Linked DNA regions of Oryctolagus cuniculus. The protein of the gene in region 7 binds, or shares a complex with, the protein of the main gene of each other region. Links are inferred from orthologs where the notes say so. Each region holds a gene or a part of one and is shown on either strand. Other genes may lie near its edges. The genes, in order: EFTUD2, SNRPF, LSM5, PRPF31, RBMX2, RBM22 and SNRNP40.

What was found.
Region 1: SNRNP40 (region 7) and EFTUD2 share a complex: the UniProt entries of both Homo sapiens proteins name them as parts of the minor spliceosome. The link is inferred for Oryctolagus cuniculus from reciprocal best matches to the Homo sapiens genes SNRNP40 and EFTUD2.
Region 2: SNRNP40 (region 7) and SNRPF share a complex: the UniProt entries of both Homo sapiens proteins name them as parts of the U4/U6-U5 tri-snRNP complex. The link is inferred for Oryctolagus cuniculus from reciprocal best matches to the Homo sapiens genes SNRNP40 and SNRPF.
Region 3: SNRNP40 (region 7) and LSM5 share a complex: the UniProt entries of both Homo sapiens proteins name them as parts of the U4/U6-U5 tri-snRNP complex. The link is inferred for Oryctolagus cuniculus from reciprocal best matches to the Homo sapiens genes SNRNP40 and LSM5.
Region 4: SNRNP40 (region 7) and PRPF31 share a complex: the UniProt entries of both Homo sapiens proteins name them as parts of the U4/U6-U5 tri-snRNP complex. The link is inferred for Oryctolagus cuniculus from reciprocal best matches to the Homo sapiens genes SNRNP40 and PRPF31.
Region 5: SNRNP40 (region 7) and RBMX2 share a complex: the UniProt entries of both Homo sapiens proteins name them as parts of the minor spliceosome. The link is inferred for Oryctolagus cuniculus from reciprocal best matches to the Homo sapiens genes SNRNP40 and RBMX2.
Region 6: SNRNP40 (region 7) and RBM22 share a complex: the UniProt entries of both Homo sapiens proteins name them as parts of the postcatalytic spliceosome P complex. The link is inferred for Oryctolagus cuniculus from reciprocal best matches to the Homo sapiens genes SNRNP40 and RBM22.

The regions. Positions count from the first base shown.
Region 1 is NC_091448.1:18,100,890-18,104,640, reverse strand, and holds part of EFTUD2 (116 kDa U5 small nuclear ribonucleoprotein component), read left to right. Parts: intron 1-729; coding exon 730-816; intron 817-1,009; coding exon 1,010-1,136; intron 1,137-1,297; coding exon 1,298-1,385; intron 1,386-1,979; coding exon 1,980-2,098; intron 2,099-2,207; coding exon 2,208-2,302; intron 2,303-2,732; coding exon 2,733-2,886; intron 2,887-3,053; coding exon 3,054-3,161; intron 3,162-3,479; coding exon 3,480-3,575; 3' UTR 3,576-3,751. UniProt on the Homo sapiens protein: Required for pre-mRNA splicing as component of the spliceosome, including pre-catalytic, catalytic and post-catalytic spliceosomal complexes. Component of the U5 snRNP and the U4/U6-U5 tri-snRNP complex, a building block of the spliceosome.
Region 2 is NC_091442.1:98,723,662-98,728,104, reverse strand, and holds the start of SNRPF (small nuclear ribonucleoprotein F), read right to left. Parts: upstream 2,981-4,443; 5' UTR 2,844-2,980; coding exon 2,841-2,843; intron 861-2,840; coding exon 735-860; intron 1-734. UniProt on the Homo sapiens protein: Plays a role in pre-mRNA splicing as a core component of the spliceosomal U1, U2, U4 and U5 small nuclear ribonucleoproteins (snRNPs), the building blocks of the spliceosome.
Region 3 is NC_091447.1:23,532,950-23,537,325, forward strand, and holds the start of LSM5 (U6 snRNA-associated Sm-like protein LSm5), read right to left. Parts: upstream 2,916-4,376; 5' UTR 2,804-2,915; coding exon 2,758-2,803; intron 1,653-2,757; coding exon 1,557-1,652; intron 1,276-1,556; coding exon 1,248-1,275; intron 287-1,247; coding exon 214-286; intron 1-213. UniProt on the Homo sapiens protein: Plays a role in pre-mRNA splicing as component of the U4/U6-U5 tri-snRNP complex that is involved in spliceosome assembly, and as component of the precatalytic spliceosome (spliceosome B complex).
Region 4 is NC_091449.1:4,564,890-4,569,299, forward strand, and holds the start of PRPF31 (U4/U6 small nuclear ribonucleoprotein Prp31), read right to left. Parts: upstream 2,807-4,410; 5' UTR 2,676-2,806; exon of another isoform or gene 2,444-2,675; intron 2,186-2,443; 5' UTR 2,178-2,185; coding exon 2,001-2,177; intron 1,924-2,000; coding exon 1,863-1,923; intron 422-1,862; coding exon 338-421; intron 1-337. UniProt on the Homo sapiens protein: Involved in pre-mRNA splicing as component of the spliceosome. Required for the assembly of the U4/U5/U6 tri-snRNP complex, one of the building blocks of the spliceosome.
Region 5 is NC_091453.1:108,061,122-108,064,872, reverse strand, and holds part of RBMX2 (RNA-binding motif protein, X-linked 2), read right to left. Parts: intron 1,796-3,751; coding exon 1,666-1,795; intron 1-1,665. UniProt on the Homo sapiens protein: Involved in pre-mRNA splicing as component of the activated spliceosome. As a component of the minor spliceosome, involved in the splicing of U12-type introns in pre-mRNAs.
Region 6 is NC_091437.1:37,915,431-37,919,181, forward strand, and holds part of RBM22 (pre-mRNA-splicing factor RBM22), read right to left. Parts: intron 3,581-3,751; coding exon 3,551-3,580; intron 2,961-3,550; coding exon 2,828-2,960; intron 1,761-2,827; coding exon 1,660-1,760; intron 1,577-1,659; coding exon 1,404-1,576; intron 746-1,403; coding exon 545-745; intron 1-544. UniProt on the Homo sapiens protein: Required for pre-mRNA splicing as component of the activated spliceosome. Involved in the first step of pre-mRNA splicing.
Region 7 is NC_091438.1:141,099,983-141,103,733, reverse strand, and holds part of SNRNP40 (U5 small nuclear ribonucleoprotein 40 kDa protein), read right to left. Parts: intron 2,018-3,751; coding exon 1,897-2,017; intron 1-1,896. UniProt on the Homo sapiens protein: Required for pre-mRNA splicing as component of the activated spliceosome. Component of the U5 small nuclear ribonucleoprotein (snRNP) complex and the U4/U6-U5 tri-snRNP complex, building blocks of the spliceosome.

The DNA.
Region 1 (3,751 bases), on a different chromosome or scaffold from region 7:
AGCAATGATGGAGCTGAACTGATGCGAAGCCAGGAGCCAGGGGCTTCCGGGTCTCCCACATGGTGCAGGAGCCCAAGGACTTGGGCCATCTTCCACTGCTTTCCCAGGCCACAGTGGAGAGCTGGATCAGAAGTGGAGCAGCTGGGACTCGAACCAGCGCCCATATGGGATGCCAGCACTGGGGCCAGCAGTTCTGCCCACTATGCCACAGCACTGGCCCCCAAACTTTGCTTTTAAAAACAGGTAGGGGGTGCCAGCACTGGGGCGCAGCGGGTTAAAGCCCTGGCCTACAGCGCCAGCATCCCATATGGAACCGATTTGAAGCTCCACTTTCTGATCCAGCTCCCTGCTGAAAGCTTGGGAAAACAGTGGAAGATGACCCAAGTCTTTGGGCCCCTGCACCTATGTGGGAGACCCGGAGGAGGCTTCTGGCTCCTGGCTTCAGATTGGCCCAGCTCCAGCTGTTGCAGCCATTTGGGGAATGAACCAGTGAATGGATGTCTGTCCCCCCACCCCACCTCTCTCTCTTAACTCTGCCTTTCAAGTAAATAAATAAAATTAAAAAAAAAAAAAAAAAGATTCAAATGAAAAGAGAAGATGAGCCCTTTTTGCTCTTCCCTGCCCCTTCGGCTTGCACAAACATCCCTGCCTGGCTGTCCACTTTGCCACCCCTTAGCTATCCCTCGCACCAGTCCTACGACCCCTCATAACCCGTGTCCTTCCTGCCAGGAACAAGATCACCATGATAGCCGAGCCTCTGGAGAAGGGCCTTGCCGAGGACATAGAGAACGAGGTGGTCCAGATCACATGGAACAGGTGGGGAATGCAGCTTACCTGCCCGGTCTCGAGTCCCACAAGCTCCTCTGCAAAGCCACGCGTATCCCCCTTTGCTGTTTGCTCAGCACGGTGTGGGTGGGACGAGGTGACTGCAGAGAGGGAAGGTCCCCAGGAGCCAGCAGTCACAGAGCTGTCTGTTGCTGAGTTTCCCCCATTTCCCTCCTTCCCCCAGGAAGAAGCTGGGAGAGTTCTTCCAGACCAAGTACGACTGGGATCTGCTGGCTGCCCGTTCCATCTGGGCTTTCGGCCCTGATGCCACCGGCCCCAACATCTTGGTGGATGACACCCTGCCCTCGGAGGTACAGCAGAACTGATGGGAACCTTGGGGTGCTGTCTTCCCGGAAGCTTTTTGTGTCCTCTGGTGATGGAGGGGATCCTCTTAGTGGCTGTGCGTGTCCTCTCCCTCAACTCCCGGGCTGTTGACAGGAGCTTGCTAAGGAGCTCCCATGTTTCTCTGCAGGTGGACAAGGCTCTTCTTGGCTCAGTGAAGGACAGCATCGTCCAGGGTTTCCAGTGGGGAACCCGGGAGGGGCCCCTCTGTGATGAGTGTAAGTCTGTCAGCACCTCCCCGCCCCAGTTCTCAGGGACCTTGCAGCTAGGGTGGGCCCGCCAGCTTTGAGGCCTGGCAGGTGAAGCAGTGTGGGGCACCCAGGGCCATCCCCTGTGCTGGGCCAGCTTCCTCCCTTCCTCCCCCTGCCCTGGTGCCGCAGTTAGGATGCATCCTGACTGACATTTTCTCCTCCTTCCTGGGAAGGCTTTGACTTGGAGTGTGTTTGAGGAGAGATACCAAGAGGGCAGTGAGGTTGGAGTGGTTTATGGACAAAGATTAGACCATGGGACCAAGTTATTGTCCGTGGGACCAAGTTAGCAATTGGATACTCTTTATCCAAACAAATTTCAGTGTCTTGTGCTGTCTAGGAAAGCCCCACATGTCTGAGCATGGCCTGAGGCAAACACTAGGAGCACAGTTCACCTTCAGACCTCTTTGCCAGGCCTTGCCTATCTCTTTGGAACGCCCTGCTCTTTGTGCTGTGTCTTTGGTATCTGTGAGACAGCTGTGATGTAGCAAGACTGTTGGTCTGGATGCCCTGGAGACTCGCCCCAGAGCCCTCCTCAGGCAGCTGTCTGCATCTCCTTTCCAGTGATTCGAAATGTCAAGTTTAAGATCCTGGATGCAGTGGTTGCCCAGGAGCCCCTGCACCGGGGTGGGGGCCAGATCATCCCCACGGCCAGGAGAGTCGTCTACTCCGCCTTCCTCATGGTAAGAGACTGGGGCTTTCCTGGACAGTGGATTAATTGGAAGACCGAGCTTGGTGCGGCCTCAAGCCTACACCCCCCAAGCTGAAGAGCCGTTTCTCTCTCCGCTGCAGGCCACTCCTCGTCTGATGGAGCCTTACTACTTTGTAGAGGTCCAGGCCCCTGCAGACTGTGTCTCTGCCGTCTACACTGTCCTGGCCAGGCGCAGGTCAGTAGCTCTGGATGTCTTAGGGGGAGTGCTGGGAGCCAGAGGGTACAGGAAGCAGCAGCTGCTGTGCTGGGGGAGAGATGGGACTCCCCTCCCCTCTCCAGACCCAGTGAGTGTACTTTCTAGAAGAAATAGGAAAGCGACGAGCTTTACTCCAGGTTACAATTTGAGATTTCCTCTGAGCCCCCACCCCCACTCCCAGAGAGTCCCTGGTGGAGAGTGCTGGGTGCTGAAGCAAGTCTGTAGCACCCTGTCCCTTCAGTGTCCCCACTCCCGTGTTCTGCCCAGAGGTTGCTGTCCCTTTGACTTCCACAGAGAATTACTCTGGGAGCTCCAAGCTGGAATGCATCTGGGGCAGCAGAAGCCACACTGCAGTTTGGCTTTTGGTTTCTGCACAGCCAAGGCCTCAGCCTTTGTTTTTCCATCGCAGGGGACACGTGACTCAGGATGCACCCATCCCAGGCTCGCCACTCTACACCATCAAAGCTTTCATCCCGGCCATTGATTCTTTTGGGTTTGAAACTGATCTCCGGACGCATACCCAGGGACAGGCCTTTTCCCTGTCTGTCTTCCACCACTGGCAGGTGAGAAGGCTGTTCAGGCCAGCAGGTGTGGCCTCCCACCCCACAAGGCTAACCTTTGCCCTGTTCCCCTTGCAAGCCCTGCCTTCCTAGAGAAGAGCCCTGCTTCTGGGGCTTGACTTCTCTGGGAAGGCTGCCTGGACACCACCTGAATCCCCCTTGCCTTTCAGATTGTACCCGGTGATCCCCTGGACAAGAGCATTGTCATCCGCCCCTTGGAGCCCCAGCCAGCCCCTCACCTGGCCCGAGAATTCATGATCAAAACCCGTCGGAGGAAGGTGTGTGTCCCTCAGGCCCATTACCAACCCTCAACTCCCCTAGGGCTCAGCAGGAGCTGGGTCTCTCCATTTTTCCCTTGAGCCCTTTCCCAAGGGCCTGTAGACTGACAACAGTTTATTGCATGTAGACAGGTGCGATCTGGAAACTCCTCGTGTGGCCAGACCTGGGGCCCAGTCTGGCCAGGAAAGGAGGGCCTTCCCCTCAGCTGTGATGAGCCCCTGTAGCCCTGCAGCCTCCCCTGCAAGCATAGGTCTTGGATGGCCCCAGCCAGTCAGCCCCCGTAGGCCTCATTCTCACGTCTCTCCCACTCTCTGCAGGGCCTGAGTGAAGACGTGAGCATCAGCAAGTTCTTCGACGACCCTATGTTGCTGGAGCTTGCCAAACAGGATGTTGTGCTCAATTACCCCATGTGAGTGTGGGGCCTGCTGACACTGCTTGCCGTAGGTGCGGCTCCCGGGCTTGAGGCTGAGGCCTGCTGGGCCCTTCACCTTGTCAGAAAGTGTCCTGGAAACACTGTGCTCGCCTTGAAAAGCCCACGGACTTCCAACCCAGAGCCCCAGTAGGGGAGGAGCATTGTTCCCTCATGTTT
Region 2 (4,443 bases), on a different chromosome or scaffold from region 7:
TACTGACTATATGATTCTTCCCAAAATGATTAAATTCACAAAGTAGAAAAGTGGTTACCAACAGCTAGAATCTGGGGTACGGGGGTGTTACTGCTTAATGGGTACAGAGTTCCACTTTAGGATAATGAAAAAGTTCTGAAATTGGGTACTAGTGGTAGCTGCAAAACAATGTTCTCACATACTATTACTGAGTGACATCTTTAAAAATGGTTAAAGTGGCCAAATTTTTATGTATATTTTATCACAATAAAAAAATTCACACCAAATCCCCCCCCTCACTGGCAAAATCATTTACAACTAGTTTAACCAACATAGTTCATCAATTCTTTCAGCTAATCTGTCTTCCCTCTGAAGAAATGCTTCTAGTTGATTACATTAATGTTGTGCCTTTAGCATTCATTAAGAGACAAGAATTTCACTTGAAAAATATCAGATTTAAGCGCTGGAAAAAGGTTTGCTTTTGAAAGCAACTCATGTATTTCCCTTATTATATGAATAATCAAATGCCTGAGTCCTCCTCACTTTACCCACCACGAGTAAGGTCTGTGAATCCTGGCCTAACCCCGTGTCTTGTACCTAGTCTATCAGTTGTAACATCCTCCCTGGCCTTGACTTCATTCCTGAATTTTGTTCTATCTTTGCCAACTGTATGAATTATTAGTCACACGAAACCTTGGAGGAATAAAGTGGAACAGAAGAAACACAGTGTCACCACCCTTTCACCTCTAGCTTACCTGCATGTTCATATAGCCGTCTACAGACACCAGGTAGCCCTTGTACTCCATTCCCCACTTGAGTTTCACCATCACGGGCTTCCCTGTTAATCCATTGAGGAAAGGTTTGGGATTGAGGGGTAAACTCTGCACAAAACAAACAAACAAAAAATCCATTGATTTTTTTTTTTCCTTAACTTGGCTTCCACTCCTCACTCTCCTCTACCAATCCACCAATCAATATTTTGTAACATCCAAATGAAGCAAACTCTTCACTCCCTATCACTCTACTACCTAATTTCCACTTTTGTTTGTTGAAGAGCATCTGGGAAATTTTTTTTTTTTTTTTGACAGGCAGAGTGGACAGTGAGAGAGAGACAGAGAGAGAAAGGTCTTCCTTTGCCGTTGGTTCACCCTCCAATGGCCGCCGCTGCAGCCGGCGCACCGATCTGATGGCAGGAGCCAGGATCCAGGTGCTTTTCCTGGTCTCCCATGGGGTGCAGGGCCCAAGCACTTGGGCCATCCTCCACTGCACTCCCGGGCCACAGCAGAGAGCTGGCCTGGAAGAGGGGCAACCGGGACAGAATCCGGCGCCCCAACCGGGACTAGAACCCGGTGTGCCAGCGCCGCAAGGTGGAGGATTAGCCTAGTGAGCCACGGCGCCGGCTAGCATCTGGGAAATTTAACCAGTTATCCCATTTCGTCTTCAACCCATCACAAAAAAATAAGTGTTCACGCTGCACTTAGGAGACAAGCGGCACCTGCAGTCCTCAGTGTCGCAAGCTCTAAGGAAACAAAGATGAAAGCCCTACAACAAACGTGTAACGAGGCTCTGTCCTTAAGAAGCCAGGGTGGGGGTGTGGCGCTGCAGACATACAGACAATTATATTGCAAAGCAGTAAGAGCGATGCTATGCAGAAAGGCCCAACCAACTCAGGAAAAAAGACAGGAACGGGCTGCCTGGTAGGAGCAATGCCTCCGTTTTAAAGGGTGAAGTCTATTCCAGAGGGAAAGGGGACCGCTGGAGGCCAGGGAGGCTTCCCATCTGGAATGACCGTGTGTATGTGTGCGCTTGCGCGCGTCATCCCGAGAACAAGCAGTACGGTCAGCATCCCACTCGGGGCAGGACCAAGCTCGGCAGGGCTCGGTCCTCACCCGACCGGTGCATCGCCGGCGAACCGAGTCTCTCCGCGCTCACCTCCTCACCCCGAGGAAGAACCCAGACACCGCTACTAAATCGCGGGAAAAGTAGGAGGGCTCCACCCGCAATAACCGCCTAACGGCCCCCAGCTCCCCACTTCTCGGGCGCAGCGAGCACACAGCCGCTACGACGTGTGCCAGAGCGCATCCCATCGGGCCTGATGAGAAAGCTCCGACGGCTGCCGAGGGCGCCGGGGTAGACCCTCCACACGCTGCCCAGGTCCTGGCGCTCTCGCAAGCGGTGGCCGCTTTCGGCCAACACCCACCACGAGTGTAGCTGTCCCTCCCTCATCGTTCCGGAGCCCCATTTCCTGTCACCCGGGCTCGGGTGAAAGCCCCCCTCCGGGGGCAGCCGCGGAAGGCGCCCCAGCGCCCCGGGGCCGCAGCCTCCCGCCCGCTCCCGTCTAGGCCGGTGCCCATTTCGGTGAACAGCGCCTGACGGACGTCTGTCTCTCACACCCCGCCCAGCTCGGCCGGTGCAGGGTCCGCATGGGCACTTCTCAGTCTCTAGTCCTGGAGCCCAAGACTCAACCTGGCCAAGTCGCCGGCGCTCAATAAGCGTCAGAACGAATACACGAACGCTCCGGGGCCTGGGCCAAGGCGGGCTGGAGAAACATCACCGACGGAATAAAAGCGGCTTCATGAGTGCGACGAAGTGGGAAACGCAAACCGCTTCAGCGTTTGCTACATCCACCCCGACTACCTCTTTCTTCCCTGGACTCAGAAAGAAGAGGCAGCAGGAGGCGAGGGTCGTCCCAGCCAGGAAGGGACTCGCGCGCGTCCGCGGAACCCGCAGACTGGCGCCCCGGTGCGCTGCGCCTCGCGGATGAATGGGAAAGGCGCGAAGCCGCCACCAGGCTCAGCCAGCCCGAAGTTGCCTTCCCGCCCTCTCCGTCTCGCGACTCCAGCAGTCCTCCCTCTCCTTACCATCACGACTTCGGGCTAACGTTGCGGATTAGACGCCGCCGACGCAGATACAGCCCGTCCCGCGTGCTCGGAGCAGCTTCCCCCAAGGCCCAGACCTCCGAAGTTGCAAGAGAAATGGCCGCCAAACCTCAGCTTGACCTTTCACCTCCCACCACCGCTCTTTCGCCTTCTATGATTGGTCAAAAAGAGGCGTGTGCTGATTGGAGGAGATGGCGCAGCCGTGTCTCCCAGCAACCAGAGACGCGTTCGGCGTTACTAGTCTTCTCCCCTGCCTTGAAGAACCGGCTGTGAGAGGCCGCGTACCCTGTGGCGCACACGTGATTTCTCGGCAGCTTGGCTAATGGGGGGTCGCTTTGTTAGTTTACAACGGTGAGAACGCGTTCGGGGCTCTCAGGTCCCCGGGTACCGCGATTTGGGGGCGCCTCTGCCACAGCCCCCTTCGACCTGAAGGTTGTCTATTCGGTAGCACCCGTTTCAGCGTTCTAAGAGGAAATGAGAGGAGCGGGCCTGGAGGCGGGGAGGTGAAACGGAGGGGCCGCGGCAGAATTCTTTGCAGACTAGGAGCCAGGACCTCCCCCGGGGCGTTGCCCGCGGGCCCCCGGCCCCGCCGGCCTGGGGAGCACCTGCGGCAGCACGGGCTGATCGGTGCCCGCGACGCAGCCGCCAGCCCCTCTCCGCGCGACCGACGCTGGACTAGCCCGGATGGGAGGTGCTGAATGCAGATCTCGGAGAACTGGCGCTTGGAGGAGGACCGCCTGCTGCTGGACACCCCCCAGAAGATGCGTTTGGACTTGAGCTTTCAGGAGATGCTCGCTGTGACTTACGTGTTGTCGGTTTAAATGATGAGCAGCAAGTCAGGGTGATCATCAGTGTGGTGTAGACCGAATAGCTGTTAGAATTATTTACCCCAAAGTGCACTGGGTTTTTTCTGGTTAGTCATCGTGTCGTGGATCTTCAGCTTTTAAGAAAAAAAATTCTTAATTTTCTTTATGAGAGAGCGAGAGCGAGACAGAGAGCGTACACGCTCTTGGACCTACTGGCTCAACTCCCCAAACACCCGCAACAAGCCAGGCTGAAGCCGGGGGCTGGGAACTCCCAAGTGAGTGGAAGGGACCCAAACTACTTGAGCCATCACCTGCTGCCTCCCAGGGTGCATTAGCAGGAAGCTGGGTCAGAAACCCAGCGGGGACTCCAAGCCAGACACTCCCATCTGGGATGTGGGCGTCTTAGGCGCTATGCCAGATGTTACACCCCTGCATCTTTAACTTTGCTATAATCTTTAGTTCCTAACTTTATGTCCGGCTCTTTCCCAATTATTATAGAAATCACACAGTGTGATCTGAAGTTACAGCTGAGATGAGAAAAACAGACTTGGCAGAGAACTTGCCCAGAGGCACGTAGCTGGATTTTAACCCCAAAACTGCTTTCTCTACTTCATAAAGCCACCTTTCAGCAACTTTAGAAAATTGGCTACATTCCAGCCTGCACAAAATGAGCCTGGAGTGTCTTGTTATGCAGAAGTAGGAAAAATGCTCAGAGTGACGGGGTCATTCAAAAGGATGTCCCAATTTTGACAACTTGAACATCAAATATGTAAAGACAG
Region 3 (4,376 bases), on a different chromosome or scaffold from region 7:
CAATGATTCCTAACCAAGCAAAAGTAAAAAGCCCAGCAAACTAATCCTTAGGCCTAACACCTTCTCAAGAGCTTGGCTTTAGGGCCCTGACTACCAGACAATCTCTTTCCCACCCTAAGCACCACCAAGCCACGGCATGAGTGAAGCAACCGGCAACATTACTAGTTAGGTCTGTAAGCCCTGTCCCACAGAAACAGTTTTAACGTGTCTTACCATTGTTATATTATTTCCATTTAGCAAAATCTGATCTAATTTAGTGATCCTTCTTCCTTCCGGTGTGATTTCACTAAATGAAGTGATAAAACAGAAAGTCAGGATAAATGGTGGTAACCAAAGGCAGCATTTTAGAAACACCTTCTCTCTCTAAAAAGGTAATGTTTGTATAAACGAAAGTTCAGCAATTATAAAGGTGATTTTCAGAGATAAAAGTTATCCACTGGGTAATGTACACTCTTCATCAAAAGCAAGAGTAGACCAATGGATATAAATAAGATCCATAGCCAAGGGGGCTGGCACTGTGGCTCAGCAAGTTAAACTGCTGCCTGCAGTGCTGCATCCCATACAGGCACTGGTTTGAGTCCTGGCTGCTCCACTTCCAGTCCAGCTCCCTGCTGATGTGCCTGGGGAGGCAACAGAGGGTGGACCAAGTGCTTGAACCCCTGAACAGATGTGGGAGACCTGGGGAAAGCTCATGGCTCCTGGCTTCAGCCTGGCCCAGCCCTGGCATTGCAGCCCTTTGGGGGAGTAAACCAGCGAATGGAGGATCTCCCTCCTTCCCTCTCTTTCTTTCTCTCTGTAACCTGGCTTTTGAATAAATAAAGCTTTAAAAAAGATTCACAGCCATGAGACTTATCTTCAAAAAAAAAAAAAAAAAAGGTGGAACCTGCCAAGATCAAATATAAAATATTTAGTAGACTCACTCTTTAACATTTTGTATTACTACTGATTTCTACCCACTAAACTACTATGTAACTAATACTTATCACTTACATTTTACATTATATAGTTAAATGTTTTCATCATCAGGTCCTTGATATGACCTGAGCCTTAAAATCCCTGCACGTTAACATCTGTTACCTTCAAGCTTTGTCTCCACTAATTTCCTAGCAATTCAGCAACAATTACATAACTTTTACAAGCATTAGTAAATAAAAGTTGCCTCTACTTCCATTTTGCTGACTAAACAGTACTTAAAATGTCCTGAATTTGAAAAAGAGCCGAGTTCTGTCATTTTTAGCACTACTCACAATTCAGTGACATCTTCCAATACCATATCTGAAAGGTGGTGTTAAGGAAATAAACACTCCAGGTTGAAACAACTCTGGTTTCTGCTTTCATTCAGTTGTAATGATAATATTTAACACAAAGGCTCATAATAAAAAGGCTGACTGTTGGTAGGAATGTGACCTTCTTCCAGTATACTCACCTCTGAAAACACCATCACAAGTGCCCTGAGATGAACTGACTTTTATCGTTAACACCCAGAAACACACTGTCTACGGTTCTGTTATTAAATAAACAGGAAAAAGCCACAGCACCACGTTTTAAAAGGATACTGACGAAGTCATCGAAGCCAAGAAGGGTGCCAACAATTTCCTTATCACTCTTCATCACAATGTGAATTCTGGATCCTATACATTTATCCACAAGCTCTGCGTGAGCAAAAAGATTATTTTACCCATTCATCATTTTAGCACATACTCGAGTGCACGCTGGCATTTGTTACTTGCCAAATTCAGTGAAAATTAAACTAGGAAGAACATCCCCCTTTGGTAACCTCGGATCTTAAAATGCAAACCTCTGCGCTCCCACTACTTAATCAGAAGCCTTTCCACTTCTCCTTTCTGTGCAGCAATCTATCATGATTGTGGCTTTATCTTTATTCCAGATCACGTGATTAATTTAGGGACACAAACACATCCCCCCAGACTCTTAAGCGCCACGAGCCCGGACACTGTGCTCATTTTCGCCCATCGCTGGATCTTCAGTGGACAGGGACGGGCATTTACGGGGCTTTCCACGAGCCTAATCACTGAAGTCCGTCAACGCAACCACTCCTCGCCGGCTACACAATGTCAGAGGCCGCTGACCGTCGTCGCGGGAGCCTCCTGTCACCTCCTCCCTCGCCAGTGAAGCCCCGCGGTGCTGGGGGCAGCTTCAGCACCTCTGGCCAGCCTGGCACGGGGGGCACAAGGTTTACTTGTCCAGTACTGTCTCCTCCACTGGCTTGTGTACCCTTCGGGAGCGATGGCTGTGGTTTAAGGTCGCTGTGGACTAGCACGCAGGAAGAACACGGGCTCTTACTGAATGGATGGATGAATGAATGAATGAATGGCAAACAGGGCTAGTTTCCAGATTCCTCCTCTAAGGCTCGTTCCACAGCGCGCTGCTTCCCGCTCAACTCCCAGACACACAACAGGGTGAACCCCATCTGGGGATCCCAAATGCCACTCCGGACACGGCGCCGCAGCGCTCCCAACAAACACGGCCGACGGTGCGCTCGCCCAGTGCGGCCCTCTCCCGCCCACGGTTCGTTCCGGGGGAGTCCGAGGAGCTGCCTCCAGGGGCAGGAGCACGTTACATCGCAGCAGCGGCCTGGCGCGCAGGAGCTCGGGAGCCGGCGCGAGCCGCGGAGGGGAAACGCTCGGCCCCACACATAGGCCCGCTACCAGCCAGGGGTGCCTCGGCCGCAACCCCGCGGCCCCCAGTCCTGAACCCCAGCCTCCCGCCCCAGCTCCCTCACAGGAAAACCATTACCTAGCGGCAGCAGCTGCGAGGGGTTCGTAGTAGCGTTAGCCGCCATGGCTACGCCGGAAGTGGCCTGCGTCCATCGACGTTCCACGGTGACTTTAAAAGAGCGCGCCTGCGCCTTTGCCCGCGGCCGGGCAGGCTCGACCAATCGCAGGCCGAGCGGGCGGCCGGCGTGCTCCACGTGGGCGGCGCCCGCGCGCTGCCTTGCTGGGGAGTGGGAGTCCTGGGGTGCTGCCCTGCAGATTCGTTCCCAGGCTTCGGAGAGACGCTGAAGATTGCTAACCTCCTGAAGGAGTTCGTCCTCCGACCGAGAGGACAGCGCATAAGGAAACTTTTGGCTTGTTTTCCCATAAAATTGTCTTTATAAAGACTAGTAAAAATCAGTATTTCCCGCCACCAATTCACTCTTTGACAGAGTTACAGTGAGAGAGACAGAGAGAGGTCTTCCGTCCGCTGGTTCACTCCCCAAATGGCCCCAACGGCCGGAGCTGGGCCGATCCGAAGCCAGGAGCCAGGAGCCTTCCCTGGGTCTCCCACGCCGGTGCAGGGGCCCAAGGACTTGGACCATCTTCCACTGCTATCCCAGGCCATAGCAGAGAGCTGGATCGGAAGAGGAGCATCTGGGAATACAACTGGTGCCCTTATGGGATGCCAGCACTGCAGGCGGAGGATTAACCTAGTGTGCCACAGCACCGGCCCCAAAAACATTCCTTTTCTTGAGGCTTCTGTCCCGGTTGCTCCTCTTCCAGTCCAGCTCTCTGCTGTGGCCAGGGAGTGCAGTGGAGTATGGCCCAAGTGCTTGGGCCCTGCACCAGCATGGGAGACCAGGAGAAGCACCTGGCTCCTGGCTTCAGATCAGCGTGGTGCACCTGCCGCAGTGCGCTGGCAGCAGCGGCCATTAAGGGGTGAACCAACGGATAAAGGAAGACCTTTCTCTGTCTCTCTCTCTCACTGTCCACTCTGCCTGTCAAAAAAAAAAAAAAAAAAAAGTAAAAGAGGGGCCAGCGCTGTGGCGTAGCAGGTAAAGGCTGCCTACAATGCCGACATCCCATATGGACTCCGGTTCAAGACCAACTGCTCCTCTTCCAATCCAGCTCTCTGCTGTGGCCTGGGAAAGCAGTAGAAGATGGCCCAAGTCCTTGGGCCCTGCACCTTTGTGGGAGACCTGGAAGAAGCTCCTGGCTCCTGGGTTCGGATCAGCACAGCTCCAACCCTTGTGGTCATCTGGGGAGTGAACCAGTGGATAGTGCCTCTTCCTCTCTGTAGTTCTGCCTTTCAAATAAATAAGTAAATCTTTTTTTTTCAAAATGGTTTACACATTTTTTTTTAAATGTAAAATTTTGTTTTATACTGAGGATTTATAATAGCTTTTTCCTTTTAACTTGTTGCTACTTTCTTAATTTATCATCCTTGCTGTATCTAAAACTCTGTAGTTTATTGAAAGCTTATTTACTACTTATTCAACAAAGTATTATCTAAGGCTATCACCAGATGTCAGTCTAAGTTATGTGTTAATATCATCACACTTAGAAAACATACTTTTACGTTTCTGTTTTGAAAATAATAGCAAATTCTCTGCCTTTGTCTATTTTACATTTGTATCCTAGGAACTCAAACAGTCTAAA
Region 4 (4,410 bases), on a different chromosome or scaffold from region 7:
CTGTCCCGGCTGCCGGCTGAGCGAGGACGGCAGCTCATGCCCCTCCTTGCCTCCTGGCCTTGCTGGTGGGACGTGAAGGCGCTGGCCGGAAGTGGGGCGGTCGCCTTGTCCCACGAGCCAGCGGCAGATCCACATGACAGCAAGAGCCCGGGCACCACGGCGTGGCTCCCTGAGAGGAAAAGCTCCTCTCCCTACGTGAGCCACGCCGCTTCAGCGCTGTCCCCCCGCCCCCCGCCGTGCCCGCTCTCATGCACGGGGCCCGGGCAGGGTGTGGGAGAGGCCAGCAGGGCAGGGTGGCCCGGGGTCCCAGGCAGGGCCAGCTCGGCCTGGCACTCACTCAGCTCGTTCTCGATCTCCACGGTCAGGTTGTTGGCGTCCACGATGACACGGTACTCAGGGGCCGCCTCCACCGGTCCCATCACTGAGGAGGAGGAGCCGGGGTGCGGGGCTCAGTCCGAAGGCACCTTCCCCAGGGGCCCACGGCTGGGGAGGCGGGGACCGGGGGAGGGGCTGACGAGGGTACGGCCTGAAGCTGAGCCCAGACGCTGGCTGGCGGGGGCTGAGGGGGGTTGGTGAGGGGTCTCCCCACACCCCGGCGGTGCTGGTGCTGCCTGTCAGACACCAGGCTGTGAGACGCGGTGCATCCACATCCCCCCCTGCTGGGCATGGCCGGGCCTGACCTGGGGAAGTGTCCCTCCCTATGGCTTGGGAGAAGTGCCCGGCTGGCCCCCAAGCCCCGGGCTCCTTCTCTGCTCAGCGCAGGTACTCAGGCTCCGGAGTCTGGTTCAGGACCCCCGAGGCAGGACCGAACAGTCCCACCCTGAGCCCCTCCGACAACTGCCTGGGACCCGCCTGTCTCCTGCACCAGACCCTGAGCATCTCAAGAGCAGGGACCCGGGAAACACTAGGTGAAGGGGGAACCAGTTTCTCGGAGCCTCTGCTCTCGGCCCACTCCCCTCCCCCATGCCCAGCAACCTCCCCCCGCCCCGCTTCCTGGTGCCAGTGACCGCCACCAAGAGCCCTGGGTGACAAAGAGCAAGGGGCAGAAACAGGACAGCCCTCCCAGGAGCTGACCTGCACATTCAACATCTGACCCGGTGGGCCCCGATGTCAGAAGCGGGAAAAGGCTTTAGATAATAATTTAACAGTAAGTTATTTACTTTTATTGCTAACTCGTATCTACCAAAGCGTACAGTAGTAATGCTTCCTTCTTAGATAAAGGTAAAGGACAGGCTGGCGTTGTGGCAGTGGGTTAAAGCGCCACCTCCAACACCAGCATCCCATACGAACACAGGTTCGAGTCCCGGCTGCTCCACTTCTGACCCAGCTCCTTGCTAATGCGCCCGGGAAATCAGTGGAAGCTGGCCCCTGCCATGCCTGTGGGAGACCCAAACGGAGTCCCTGGCTCCCAGCCCTGGCCGCTGTAGTCATCTCCGGAGTGAGGCACCATGTAGAACATCTCTCTCTCTCTCTCTCTAATTCTGCTTTTCTAGTAATAATAATAATAAAAAAAAAACCCACAAGGATAAAAAATAGAAAGCATAGAAACAGAAAGTCAAGATTTCTAAGAAACTTAAAGGGACAAGTCCCCTGATGTCAGGTCCTACGGCTGGCGTCTCACGGCCGTGGCAAAGGCCGTGTGCGCGCCCCACGCGAGCTTGGACGCCCTGAGGTGTGCCCAGCGGCAAGCAGCAGGCGCTCAGCACAGGGCGAGGAGGTCAGAAACACCAGCCCTGGGATGCAGGGGGGCTTTCAGGAAGAAAGGGGGGCTAGGCCGGGCTGAAGGCAGAGCCAGCTGTCGGCGGGTCGGCGGGACGCAGGGGCCAGGGCCGCGCCGGGCGGGGAGGGGTGGGGGGCAGCACCTTCCGCCGCCTTCGCCTGCTTGCTGATGTACTCCTCGATCTTCATCATGATCTCCGCGAACTGCGGGAAGCCGGGGACAGTCAGAACCAGAGCCCCAACCCCCGCTCCCGGGGGCGCCCGCATCTCCCTCCTCTCACCATCTTGCTGTCCCATAGCTTGGCGATGCTCTTGACCGAGTCCCCCGAGAGATCCAGCTGCGCCTCCTCCTGCACATCCTCGATGGCCGGCTCCTCCTCCTCCTCCCCGTAGCTTCCTCCCTCTTCCTCTTCTGCCGCCTCTTCGAGGTCGGCCAGGAGCTCGTCCGCCAGAGACATCCCGCGACCTGCGGGGGAGGCGTTTCCCCTCGGACTGTGTCCCCCCTGGGCCCCCGCTCCTGGGAGGGGCCACGCCCCCAGCGCCCAGCCCAGCCCCGGCCCAGCCCCTTCTTCACCGAGCCCACCGCCGCAGGCTGCCCAGGACAGGCACTCCCGCCTGCTTCGCTGGCCGGGCTAGCCCCAGCCGGGACCCATGAAAGCCCCCCACCCAACTCCGGGCGAGCCTGACAACCCTGTCCTCGCCTCCAGGTCTCCGCGAGCCCTACCTTCCCACCGCCGGGACCCCCGCAGCCCACCCCCACGGGAGTAGGCCCGGACGCCTCACATGCAGGGGACCCCGTAAGGGACCACCTGGTTAAGCCTGCCTCCCCGCCGTCAACCCAAGCTCTAACGTCCGAGCTGTCCCCAGGGCCGGACCCCGGGCGGGGAGCGCCGTAGGACCTCCGCCTCTCCCCTCTCCCACTCCGCCCCCCGCCCCGTCCTGCGCACCCCACTCACCACGACCGTTTGCAGCAAGTGAGCAGCTTCCCCGAGCGGCCGGCGCGCACTGATGACGTCCCACGCCCGCGTCGCCGGCGCTGCGCTCTGATTGGCCCTCGGCCGCGCGTTCGGAACAACAACTTTATTAGCACCCGCGCGGAGGAGGAGACGGGGTGAGTCCCGGAGAGGAGAGCTGGAGCCTGCTGAGCGGAGGATCGCCGTGGCTGCACGACAGTGTCGACAGGAGAATACAGGCGGTGGCACGCAGACGAGAAACCCGGGACTCGGGAGGGTGGAGGTGGGGATGGCGGGGCGCGGGAGGTGAGGGCACGAGGCCGAAAACAGGAGCCCGCACCCCCCAGCCCCACTCCCAGAGGGCCCGGGTGGCAGCCCCGGCGCGCCGCGAAGCCTGGGCCCGAGGCTGGAGACCCGGCCGCGAGTCGGACGGCCCGGGGCGCCCGGAGCGGGACAGCGATGGAGCTGGAGCAGAGAGAGGGGTGAGCGGCGGGTCTGCACCGCGCGCGGGCGGCTGCGGGAGGCGGGGGCTGGGGCCCGGGCGCGCGGCGTCCCTGAGCGTCCGCGACCGCCCGCGACCCTGCAGGACCATGGCGGCCGTGGGCTTTGAGGAGTTCTCGGCGCCGCCGGGCTCGGAGTTGGCGCTGCCTCCGCTCTTCGGCGGCCACATTCTGGAGAGCGAGCTCGAGACGGAAGTGGAGTTCGTGTCCGGCGGCCTGGGCGGCTCGGGGCTCCGGGAGCGGGAGGAGGAAGAGGAGGCCGCCCGGGGCCGGCGGCGGCGCCAGCGGGAGCTGAACCGCAGGAAGTACCAGGCGCTGGGGCGGCGTTGCCGGGAGATAGAGCAGGTGGGTGGGTGCGTCCCCTGCGTGGGCGTGTCGACCTAGCTTCGCCCACGCACTCTGCCCCGGGAGCTCCCTGACACCCCCAGGTGGAAGCGCGGGCCCCCGCCTCCCCTACCCGAGCCCGGGCCTCGCCCCCCACCCCCAGCCCTGCTGCAGCTTCCCTGGCCCGGAGGAGGATGGAGCGGGAGCCAGGCTCGGCGCCGCGGGACAAGGTCTCTGGGTTCCTCCCCGTCTTGCCCGTCAGGGGGCGCCGCGGGAGCGGTCCTGTTCTGTGGCCTCTTAGCAGGGGCTCCGGGGGCCTCCCCCGGTTCCTGGCCCTCTCCTGCTCTGGGAAGCCGCGCCTGGATCTCGGCCTCTGGACTTTCCGGTGTTCACGAAGCACACAGCGCTGGAGTAGGCCTTACACAGGGGCCTCCTTTGAACTTGGTCTGCTCTGTAGGGGCCCGGTGCTGGGGTTGGGCCTCCAACACGCCTTTTCAAGGGGAGGGGGAAGGAACACAGTTCAGCCCTTCAAGTGGTGTTGGGGTTCGGGGAGAGGCGGGAGGTATCTGCTTAGCAAATGGGTGCTGGGCCCAGGGGGACTCTGTGAGCCTCTGCCCTTAGCCCACCCTCCCTAGGGATGAATCCTCATTGTCCCCGTTTGGAAATGCAAAAACGTGAGGCTGAGGCTAAGCAACCAAGCTCACACAGCTGATAAATGGCAGAGCCAGGATTTGAACCCAGGTCTTTCTGGCGCAGGCGCGGCACAGACTTCGGCCACTGCACTGGGCTCCCTGTTTGCTTGGTCCCGTCCCTCTCCCTCTGCGTCTGGCTGGGCACACAAGCCCTGGCTGACCGCCCTCTGTAGAGTTCATTCCCTAGTTCTCGTCCATGCACCCTCCGTTCCCTGCCAGTTT
Region 5 (3,751 bases), on a different chromosome or scaffold from region 7:
CGGCAGCCAGCTGGGCCCGGGACAGTTGTACTAGCGTTCTCATCGGCGTACCCCAGGGCGAGATACAAATACTTTCATGTGAACAAAGGCCGAGAAGCACTGCCCAGGAGCACAAGCATCACAGAGGACCATGAGAATTCAGAGGGACAGCAACCAACTGCCCCACTCTGTAATACCGTATCATTAGCTGTCCTGGAAAAGCCTGGCAGCTAGAAGGAATTCCTGAAGTCTAGCTTAAGCTCAGCACAGTCGTTAGGAGGAGGTAAAAGTGGACCAACAAGTAGAAAGGTGAGAGAAATGGAGAAAAGACCAATTTCTTCTTCTTAAGCTCTCATGCCTTGTTCTACCCTCACCATACCAGAACAATCAGCCTACATCGATTCCTGTGCTGTGAATCACAACTCCCACAGGGGAATCACAAAATTGCTCCTCACTTAAAATTCATTCTGGGACAGGAGTTGCAGTGCAATGGGTTAGGCCACCACCGGGCATGCCTATATCCCATATTGGAGTGCCTGTTTGAGTCTCAGCTGCTCTGCTCCTGATCCAGCTTCCTGCTAATGAGCCTGGAAAGGCAGCAGATGATGGCCCAGGAATTTGGGCTCTTGGCTGTGGCCTGACCCAGACCTGGCTGTTGTGGGCATTTGGGGAGTGAATCAGAGGATGGAAACACTTGTGTTTCTCTCTCAATGTCACTCTGCCTCTCAAATAAATATAAGTAAATCTTTTTTTAAAAAAATTCTATTTTCTGACAGATACAGACTTATTACATAGACGAATTAATTTGAAATTTGAAAAGCTTAACTTTTATTGTTCCAATTCAAGAACAGATTTTTATTCTGTTCTTTGGGCTTGAATACCTTCATCAACTATCCTATTCTCCATTCTGAAACATTTTTAGAAGCCTCCCTTTTATGGTAACTCCCTCTGGCTGCTGGCTCCCTTAAAAATTAAGCCTGGCACACTGCTCCACTCTGTTCTATAATCTCCAGCCACTCCGTACTGGCACAACCAGTGACAAATTCTCAAAGGCAGGAGTCACATCTGAGCCTGAACAATGCTCACTCCAACTGAAGGGTCTTTGCTAAATGAGTGTGGGGATCATGTGGAGCACAGATAAACCTAACTTGTCCCATCCTCTTCTCTCAGCTCCAGGCCTCACTCACAATGGGGGAGATGAGAGGAAAGAGAGAAGGGAGAAATCCCAGAATGAGTTTTTTGTAGAACTGGTCATCAGATTTTCACCAGAGAATTTCCAGGGCCCAGTGTGCTAGGGCACTGGAGACACATGACAGACAGACATGGCTGTGTCCTATGAGGCCCAACTCCACCAACATAGCACACATGGAAAAACACATTTGCTAGTCTCTTTGCTCTCCAGTGCACCAGAGATGAGGGCAGAGGGTGAAGAGGGAAAGGTGAAAAATGCAGGATGGGATGGGCGGCAGGCATGTTCCTGGGGAGAAGGCTTGCTCACATACGGGGGAAAGGAACAGGTCTTGACAGGGCCATGGGCCAACAGCATCATCTCCTGAATCACTTTCTGAAGAATGCCTCCACACCTCTGTAGTCCTTGCCACACACCCAGCTGCCCAGTACTGCCCCTGCACCTGTACGGATAGACACACAGAGTCCAGCCAAATTCTGTTCACTAGGCATGCTCACCTTGATCCCATTAAAATTGTCAACAGCCAGAATCGTGCTCCTCTGGTCTTCATAGCAGAGGAAGCAGAAACCTTTGGATTTTCCAGTCTTCTTGTCCCGCACGAGATTAATGTTAACAACCTCCCCATATCTATTTATGTGAGAAAAGAGTAAGACATCATTGACTCAAAATGCAAAAATATTCAGACTGTTCATAATAAAACAAAATTCAACAATGTACTCCAGGCAGGAAACACATCTAGAACAAGGTAAGATAGAAAGGTTGAAAATAAAAAAAGACCAATTTAAAAAAGGAGTGGAAATACTAAGATTGAAGACAAATACAAGGCCAAATTAAAAACACTAAATGGGACTATGAGAGCATGAAAACTCTTTTACCTTGAAAAGGGTTCTAATATATAACAAAGGTATAAGTCATTAAGTTTTATGCATCAATTAAGAAATCCAAATTTTTGAAAAGCCAGTAGAAATACAAAAAGAAACTAATAAAACTGTAAGAGATTCTAACACATCAGTAGGTTCATAACAAAGTTAACAGAAATAAGATGAGAAAATAGACAATTGTATAATAACAATAAACATAATTAACATACCAATAATTATATTAAATATGAAAAATCAGGCTAGTACATATATAGCTATTTTTGAAACCTATAAGAAGATGACAATTTCTTTTCAAGAATTCATGAACTGGCCGGCACCGCGGCTCACTAGGCTAATCCTCTGCCTTGCGGCGCCGGCACACCGGGTTCTAGTCCCAGTCGGGGCACCGGATTCTGTCCCGGTTGCCCCTCTTCCAGGCCAGCTCTCTGCTGTGGCCAGGGAAGGCAGTGGAGGATGGCCCAAGTACTTGGGCCCTGCACCCCATGGGAGACCAGGATAAGTACCTGGCTCCTGCCTTCGGATCAGCGCAGTGCACCGGCCGCAGTGCGCTGCCCGCGGCGGCCATTGGAGGGTGAACCAACGGCAAAGGAAGACCTTTCTCTCTGTCTCTCTCTCTCACTGTCCACTCTGCCTGTCAAAAAAAAAAAAAAAAAAAAAGAATTCATGAACTTTGGATTAAAACAGACTACAGATTAGACCTCAATAAAGTTTGAAAATAGACCTCGATAAACTCCAAAAATTAGACTAGACTACGTTATCCAACCACAGTTACAGTGTTGGAAATAACGTTTTAAACAAAAAAAATACCCTACTAACAAGAACTTGGAACCTACTCTTCTAACCAGTAACCAGAAGAAAAGAGAGTAAAATAAAATAAAGCTAAAAGTCAGTGGTAGACTATTTAGAAAAGAACAAAAATACAAAGAATATACACCAAAATTTATAGGATGTGGTTAAAACCATACTCAGGAAAATCTATAACCTTAATGAATTTTGTTGTCTAAAAAACAGAAAATGAATATAAAATGAAAGCAAACTCATGAAAGACGGCTGCAATAAAGATAAAGCAGAAGTTAAATAGAAAAAAAATCTAGGGGCCAGCATCCTAGTTCAGTGGGTTAAGCCTCCAGTTGCAACACCAGCATCCCATGTGAGTGCTGGGTCACGTTCCAATGCTCAGCTTCCAATCCAGCTCCCTGCTAATGTCCCTGGGAAAGCAGCAGCAGATGGTCCAAGTGCTTAGGTCCCTGCCACCCACGTGGAAGAGCTACAAGTTCCAGGCTCCTGGCTTGGGCCTGGCCCAGCCCCTGCCATTGAGGCCATTCAGGGAGTGAACCAGTAGATGGAAGATCTTTGTCTCTCCCCCACCCCCTACAGTAATTCTGCCTTTCAAATAAATAAATTTTAAAAATTTATCTTGCTCCTTACAAAAAGATAAATTCTAGATAAGTTAAAGCTCATATTATATGATGTTATATGATCACACACATCTTACATAATAGAAAATACTAGAGGTGATTAAACTAAGGTCAGAACTATTTAACGGCATATTAAGTATGGACCAAAGCAAATGAGATAAAACAGAAGAAATGAGAAAGAAGAAATAAAACTATTTCCACAGTTTATACATTAAAATATATATAGAAAACCCAAGAGAATGAATAATAAACTGATTTAAAAAACAAGCAGTATAATAATTCAG
Region 6 (3,751 bases), on a different chromosome or scaffold from region 7:
AGCTCACTTTGGTAGGGTTTGATGGAGACAGGCTACCAAGAGCAGATGATAAACCTACAGGAGGTTCTCCTCCACTTTCTCTTTGGAAGAGGTCATTTCCATTACCATCTGCCTAAATGTTTCACGAAGCCAAGCACAATACAAGCCAAAATAAAACAAATTTATCAAATACCCGCTTCTCTCAAAAGCCAACAATTTAAACCATCAGGGTTTTATAATCACAAAGCTCTCCCTCCCCTACATAACCAACCCTGTCTGCAACTGTGCCACCCTTCAAAATTCTCATCACCAACTGGGTCAAATAGAATCCTTCACAACTACTTTCATATGCAAGGATGGAGAAGCACTCTGAGGAACACTACTACTCTGGACTCCTAAAGGGCAATTTTATAGAACCTGGAGTCGGTATGAACTAACGACAGAGTAGCTGAACACTACCACACTGTGTAGAGCCTTCTCACGCTTGCCTGTGTCCTTGCAAATAAATTATCCCAGGGCAGTTAGAAGCAAAAAAAAAAGAGTTCTTAAAATTATACACACACACCTTAGATCTGTCTCAGTAATGGTATCACCCAGACCCCCAACATAGAGTGTGGTGATGGTCTTGTCCTCTGGTGGGTCCAGACGGGGCATGGTTGAAGCCCGTTTTAGAAGCTTATCCGCTACAGGATCATTGATTCCATAATATCGGTCTTTAATATTCTGATCAGCAAGGGGATCATCTGGATCTGTAGGCTTCTCATGTCTATGATTCAAGAAAAAAACAAGTGTCACGGTGGAAAAAAAAAGTTGGCATTATCCAACAGTAGCTACACATTAAAGTCGTAAATACACACCCTGATACACTTTTTGAACTGGAAATGATGGTCACAGCAAAAAAGTAACAACCCAAACAAAGCCGCGAGGGATTGGCGGTTAGGGACAGACTCCCCAGTCTCCTAGCAGCCGTTTGTAAATGGTTATTTGGGGTGTGAGATTTTCCTTTTACATCAACTATCTTTTGGGAGATGGGGGTTTACCAACTCCAAGTTAACTCCTAACCCAGGTGCTCGGCTGCTTTGGCTCCAACACACCCATGCATCCTTTGCAAGTCTGGTCTTTTTTACTTCAAGTATATGCTGGAATCAGACCCATGACAGTGAGATCTTACTTCTCAGGTAGAAATTTTAGGGTTTGCATCTACATTATACAGCCTAGCAATGCAGTGTCCCCAGGCTCACTCATAAGTAAAATCTTCGATTTAATCAAGCTCCTCTGAATTTAGCGATTTGAGACTTGAGTTCTATCATATTAGTTGTATGAGCTTTACACTTTAAAGCATGTATAATCTCAAACTAGGATCTCCCACTTTTCAGATTATCAATCTTCTGTAAACAAACACCAAAAAGCAGCCCAGGTCTTGCCTGTATGGACATTCCTCGCCTCTTTTACACTCTCCTTTCACCCAGAAGGAACAAATGTGGGGCCGGTTCCGTTTGTAGTAGGGTGTGGTCCGGGCCAGTTTGAGCAGCATGTCACTGGTGGAGGTGGCCTTCCCCAGCATGCCGACTGGCCGTGTCCCATCAGAGTTGGAAATCTATAAAGACACATATATAGACTGAGCCAGTTCATCAGGATTCTTATCAAATATACAACTACAGCAAGAAACTGGCAGCATACTTCTCTCTCCATATTCTGTGTGTAGTACTCTTTGTTGACGTCAGATTTTGGCATGTCATCTTTAAAAGACAGTCCTGCATCACGAACCTGGATGGGCAGGCCTGGTACAAAAGAACAGAGGAACTAGATCCATCAGGTATATTTAAAAACAACAACAACAACAACACAACACCATCCTTCCCTTCTCCACCCTCCTATTTCCACACACTTGATTTTTATTCAAACCCTCAGCACAGAATCTTAAGGAAGCATCTGATATCCCAAGTCATTATGCAATTTGATGAAGTGAATGCTTTACAAAATCTTTTAGATGAACACACTTTGGTTTTAGTCACATTTCACATTTGACCTTTAAATGAACGGTGTATCTAGCTTTTATTACAGTATAATTTGTTTAAAATAAATACTGGCACAGTGACTCTCTGAGCTCAACACACAGAAACTCAGCAATTTTCCAGTTATTCTGAAACAGCAGTAGAGTAACATACTAGTTCTAACACCACCACTGAGATCAAAGTCTAAAGCACACTTAGCCTATGCACATCTGGTCTGGACTGAAGCAAAGAAAGCTTCATTAAGAAAGCAGCCCCAGGCCAGTGCCGCTCAATAGGCTAATCCTCTGCCTGTGGCGCCAGCACACTGGGTTCTAGTCCCAGTTGCTCTTCTTCCAGGCTAGCTCTCTGCTGTGGCCCCGAAGTGCAGTGGAGGATGGCCCAAGTCTTTGGGCCCTGCACCCGCATGGGAGACCAGGAGAAGCATTTGGCTCCTGGCTTTGGATCAGCGTGGTGCGCCGGCCGCAGCGGCCATTGTGGGGTGAATCAACGGAAAAGGAAGACATTTCTGTCTCTCTTTTGTCTAAGAGGAAAAAAAAAAAAAAAAAAGCAGCCTAAGGCATAGGATCAACGCCTTGTACCTCAGCTTGGCTACAGAGATGGAGACACAGGCCAGTTCTGGTTAATTCCTTGCTTTCCCTTACAGTTTCTACTGTTGTCAGGAGCACTCTAGAATGGCCTGATTATAGCTCTGTTGTTGGGAAAAGCGGACTACGGGCCACATTCCATGGTGGAACAGAACCAGAGGCAGGGTGAGAAGCAGGAGACCAAAAGTCCAGCTTGTTTAGGACCCCTGACTGTACTGAGAGCCACACGACTGGACAGGGCAGACCTACCATACTCGAGGTCCAAGAGGCAGGTCTGACAGACATTCTTCAATTTACTGCAGGTCTGGCACACTTCAGTCTTCTTGAAACGCATGCGGACCCCAGGGCACCAGCGGAACACAGTGAATGGCCTGGCACAGATCTGGAGCACAAAGAAAGTGACAATATCAATCCAGGCTCAGATAATCAACTCATAAATTCATGGAGGATTCAAGAAAGGACCCCAAAATCTAGGGCTTAGAAGATGCTGTACCAGCCATTTAAACTAAATGAGATCTAATATTTCAATCTAATTTACAGCACCCCTTCCTAGTCATTGAAAAAAAAAAAAAAAAAAAAAAACTCACACAGTACAGGAATGAAATATCTAGAAAGTCAAAGTCCCTCCACCAGAGGTACTATTAATAATCCAAGCCTTAAACTTTTCGGGGGGAGGAACAGGAGCATCATTCAATCCTTTCTAACTTCCTCCTTCACTAAGACACTCATGGTTATCCAACATCTGGTATACAAAACTGACCATTCAATGCCCATCCATGAACACCCGGTTAGAGTGCTCATCTTCTTACCTTCCAGACCAAACTGTTACCAGTCAGTGAAGACGTAAGTGATCTAAGAAAGCCCTGAAGCACTCACTTTTATGGAGGACCTCAGAGCTTGATAAATGAGGGCTGGTTTGGGACAGAAAAGGAAACTATAATGAAATCATTACTCTTTAACAAACATACTTACTTTGCATTCCTTTCCATACTTTTCTTTGGTCTGAAATAGAAAAAATACAGCTAGAATTATACAGAAAAAGAACCAGATATCTATTCTTTCCATAAATACAACCAAGAAAAGTATCTAGAGATCTCTGGCATCTTAAAAAAAAGGGGGGGAAAAATCTTTGTAAGGAAACAGGATGCTTGGGGATATAGTCAAGCGGTTACT
Region 7 (3,751 bases):
TTTCCTGACTGGAGAAGTTCCAACAGGAGGCGTGCTACCTGTTAAGGCTTTTTTCCTTTTGTAGGGGAATCAATGTATCCAAGTCCCATTAGCTGGGGTTAAGGACACAGAGGAAAGACAACAGGATAGGAAAGAGAAATGCTACATCTTTTTAAAAAGATTTATTTATTTAAAAGGCAGAGTGAAGGAGACAGAAGAGATCTATCTGCTGGTTAACTGCCCAAATGGCTGCAATGACCAATGCTGTGTCAGGCCAAAGACAGGAACCTGGGACTTTATCTGAGTCTCCTCCATGGGTAGCAGAGGTCCAAGTACCTGGACCATCTCCCCAGCTTTCCCAAGCACATCAGTAAGAAGCTGGATTGGAAGTAGAGAAGCTGAGACTTGAACCTGAGCTCTGATATAGGATCCTGGAATTAAAGGCAGAGGCTTAATGTACTGCACCACGGTGCTGGCCTATTTGTCTTTTCTTAGAAGCCCATTTTAAGGTTCAAATAAGACAATAAGGTTCTAAGAATTGGAGGTAATAAACAGAAAATTTCTTAATCATAATAAGAAAGTAAAGATGTTGATGCAATGAATTTGAGTACCCATGGAGTGTCTGGTACTCTTCTTTTAAACATTTTTTTTTACTTACTGTGATTTATTTGAAATGAGGGGGAGAGAGAGAGAGAGAGAGAGGGAGAGGGAGAGGGCGAGGGCGAGGGCGAATCTTTCATCTATAGGTTTACTCCCTAAATGCTCCCAACAGAGGGGGCCCAGCCAAGCAAAAGACAGAAGCCTGAACTCAATCAAGGTCTCCCACGAGGGTGGCAGGGACCAAACCACTGGAAGCATGACCTGCTGGCTCCCAGGGCATGCATCTAGCAGGAGGCTAGAATTCGCAGCCAGGATGTGAACTCAGGTACCCTGATAAGGAATGCAGGCATCCCAAGTGGTGTCTTAATCACTGGGCCGAATGTCCATTCCCAGGTACTGTTTTTGATAAGAAATGCCAGTGAATGCATTTTAGTTCCTGATAAGCCTGTGAATTTCTGTATCGGGGCATTTCCAAACTCTCCCAATATTAACTATGCAAGAACACTGCATAAAGTTCATGAAAAAATGGAATTAAAAGATAGTGCTTGGGCTTCTGCCACCCATGTGGGAGGCCAGGATGAAGTTTCTGGCTCCTGGCTCTGGTCTGGCCCAGCCCTGGCTATTGAGGTCATTTGGGAAGTGAAGCAGTGGATAGAAGATCTCTCCCTCCCTTTCTCTGTGTTGCTTTGCCTTTCAAATAAACAAAGAAGGAAAAAAACCTTAATAATAACAAATAGAGAATGGGCAAGAATATGTGTTTGTATAAATCTAGAACACTGAGATGTTTTAATGAGGACCTCTTCTCACTTCAGTATTATTAGGGAGGGAAGATACATTGGCAGAAAACACAATAGGTCTATTGATCCCCCAAGTTTGGTACTCTCTGAAAATGCTTGTGAAATGCCTTGAATGGACCACTGGATTCTCATCTTCCATATTAACTAATCACTAGAGTTTCTTGTAACCTGCATGGATTCACTGTGTATCAAGCTGAAATGGACCTTAAAAAGGCAAGTCTGGTCCTATAATTTCATCATTGTAGAAACTGATGCTCAGAGAGGAGAAACATTGTGTGCAAGTTACTATTCAGGGACTAGATGGCAGATCGGGGCCCAGAGTCCCAGATTCTTGACCATATAGTCTGTAATTTTTCCCTTTACAGTGTCTTCTCCTAACTGCCTAGTAGAATACGAGAGCCGTTCTTGACTTGTTCCTTGGACTCTTCCTTCATCCCAGTACACATTTCTAGCACTCAATGTTACTTTATTCACAGTGACAATGATTGGGCATTGGGAGAGCTTTCCTCTGCAAAGTTACCTGTATTGTCCATTGCATTGGACAAGAGATAAGAGCCTTCAGAACTTAAACTTAACCCAGTCACTGAATCTGCATGGCCTCTCATGGTGTAGGTTAGCTTGTTTTGGCGTAGGTCCCAGACCTGCAAAAACAAAAAGGTGCTCCTAGAAATCAAGCTGAAAAATAGTAAAGAAACATTATTACGCAAGAGTCAATGGCCTGGGAAATCTGGCTCTGGGCCACATATTACTTTACCACAAAATATAGGATTTCTGTTAAAAAGAAAAGAACTTGCATTTTCCTAAAAAAGTCAAAGTTACTATGTTTGCTTAAATGTCATATACTAAGATAAAGTTTAACAACAACAAAATTTATAGAGGTTCTTCAAGAAGTATTTTAAAAATTTATTTGGAAAGCACAGAAAGAGAGAGAGAGGCCAAAAGAGATATTCTATCTGCTTCTTCAGTCCCCAATTGCCTGCTAGGGCTAGGCTAGGACCCTCCATCAGGGTCTCCCATGAGGGTGGCAGGAACCCAAGGATTTTGGTTATCAGCTGTTGATTCTCAGGGGGGCATATCTGCAGGAAGTTAACAGTCAAGTAGAGCTGGGACTCAAACCCAGGTACTCTGAGAACCGGATGCGAGCACACCTAGTGATGTCTTAACCACTATGCAATGTACACCCCATGGAAGTTATTTCCAGATCACAACAAAATGTACTGGGCATTAGTGAAAAAATTAAATGTCATTTAAAACATTTAAACTGTGATTATCAGCCACCAGTTAATAGTGGCATAGCGGTTAAGACGCTTCCTGGGACTCATCTGATGTAGAAGTGCCTGGTTAGTGTCACGGCTCCCCTGTTTCAGATCCAGTTTCCTGCTAATGAGTGGCCTGAGAAGCAGCAGATGATGGTTTACGTACTTTGGTCCTTGCCACCTATGTGGGAGACTTAGTTTGAGTTCTGGGATCCTGGCTTTGGTCTGGCACAGCCTTGGTTGTTATGGCTATCTGGGGAGTGAATCAGCAGATGGAAAATCTTTTTCTGTCTCTTTCAAACAAAATTAAATCACATAAAAATTAAGAAATAAAAGGGAACTATCAGAACTACATAAAAACAAGTAACATTGTAATTTGAAAGCATCGCCATTACATGTAACAAAACAATATACAAAAACAGATGCTTAATTTTTATTTAACGTTATAATATGTACGCACATGCGCACGCACACACACATATAACATACATACAAACACATATAAATACAGTTTGGAAAAGTGTATTTACTTTAAAAAAATGCAGACTCACTATTGCCTGTATAGGCAAGGTAAGATAAACTGTTTAACTGGAAATAATCTAAATGTCAAATATAAAAACAGATGGTTTATTAAATTATAGTTCACAAGCACACTGGAGAGTTCTCTTACAGGAGACAGGATGGCATAGTGGAAACAATGGAGATTCAGGGTCAGAAGGAACTGGAGTTTATTGGGCCACTAAATCTTTCTAAGCCTGTTTGGGAAAACAGAGATTATAGTATCTACTTCTTTCGACTGCTGTAAAGATGTACAAATGAGAGTGCTCAGCATAGGACTGGCACATGGCAGGACTGCAATAATTGGTAGCTATTATTAAGCAGTTCCTAAAAAAAAAATCTCTGGAGCCTGAATGTAAAAATATTTACATAATAAGATATTAAGCAAAAAGGAAAATACAAAGCACTATATTTACATTTACTGCAACTATATAAAATAAATATTAAGACCGACAGAAATAGTCTGGATGTCACATGGAAAAAGAACAGCAATTGTGTTAAGGTCAATGGTTTTATACAAAATTTCTTCCAAATTTTATTTAACATTGCTATGTAGTCTTC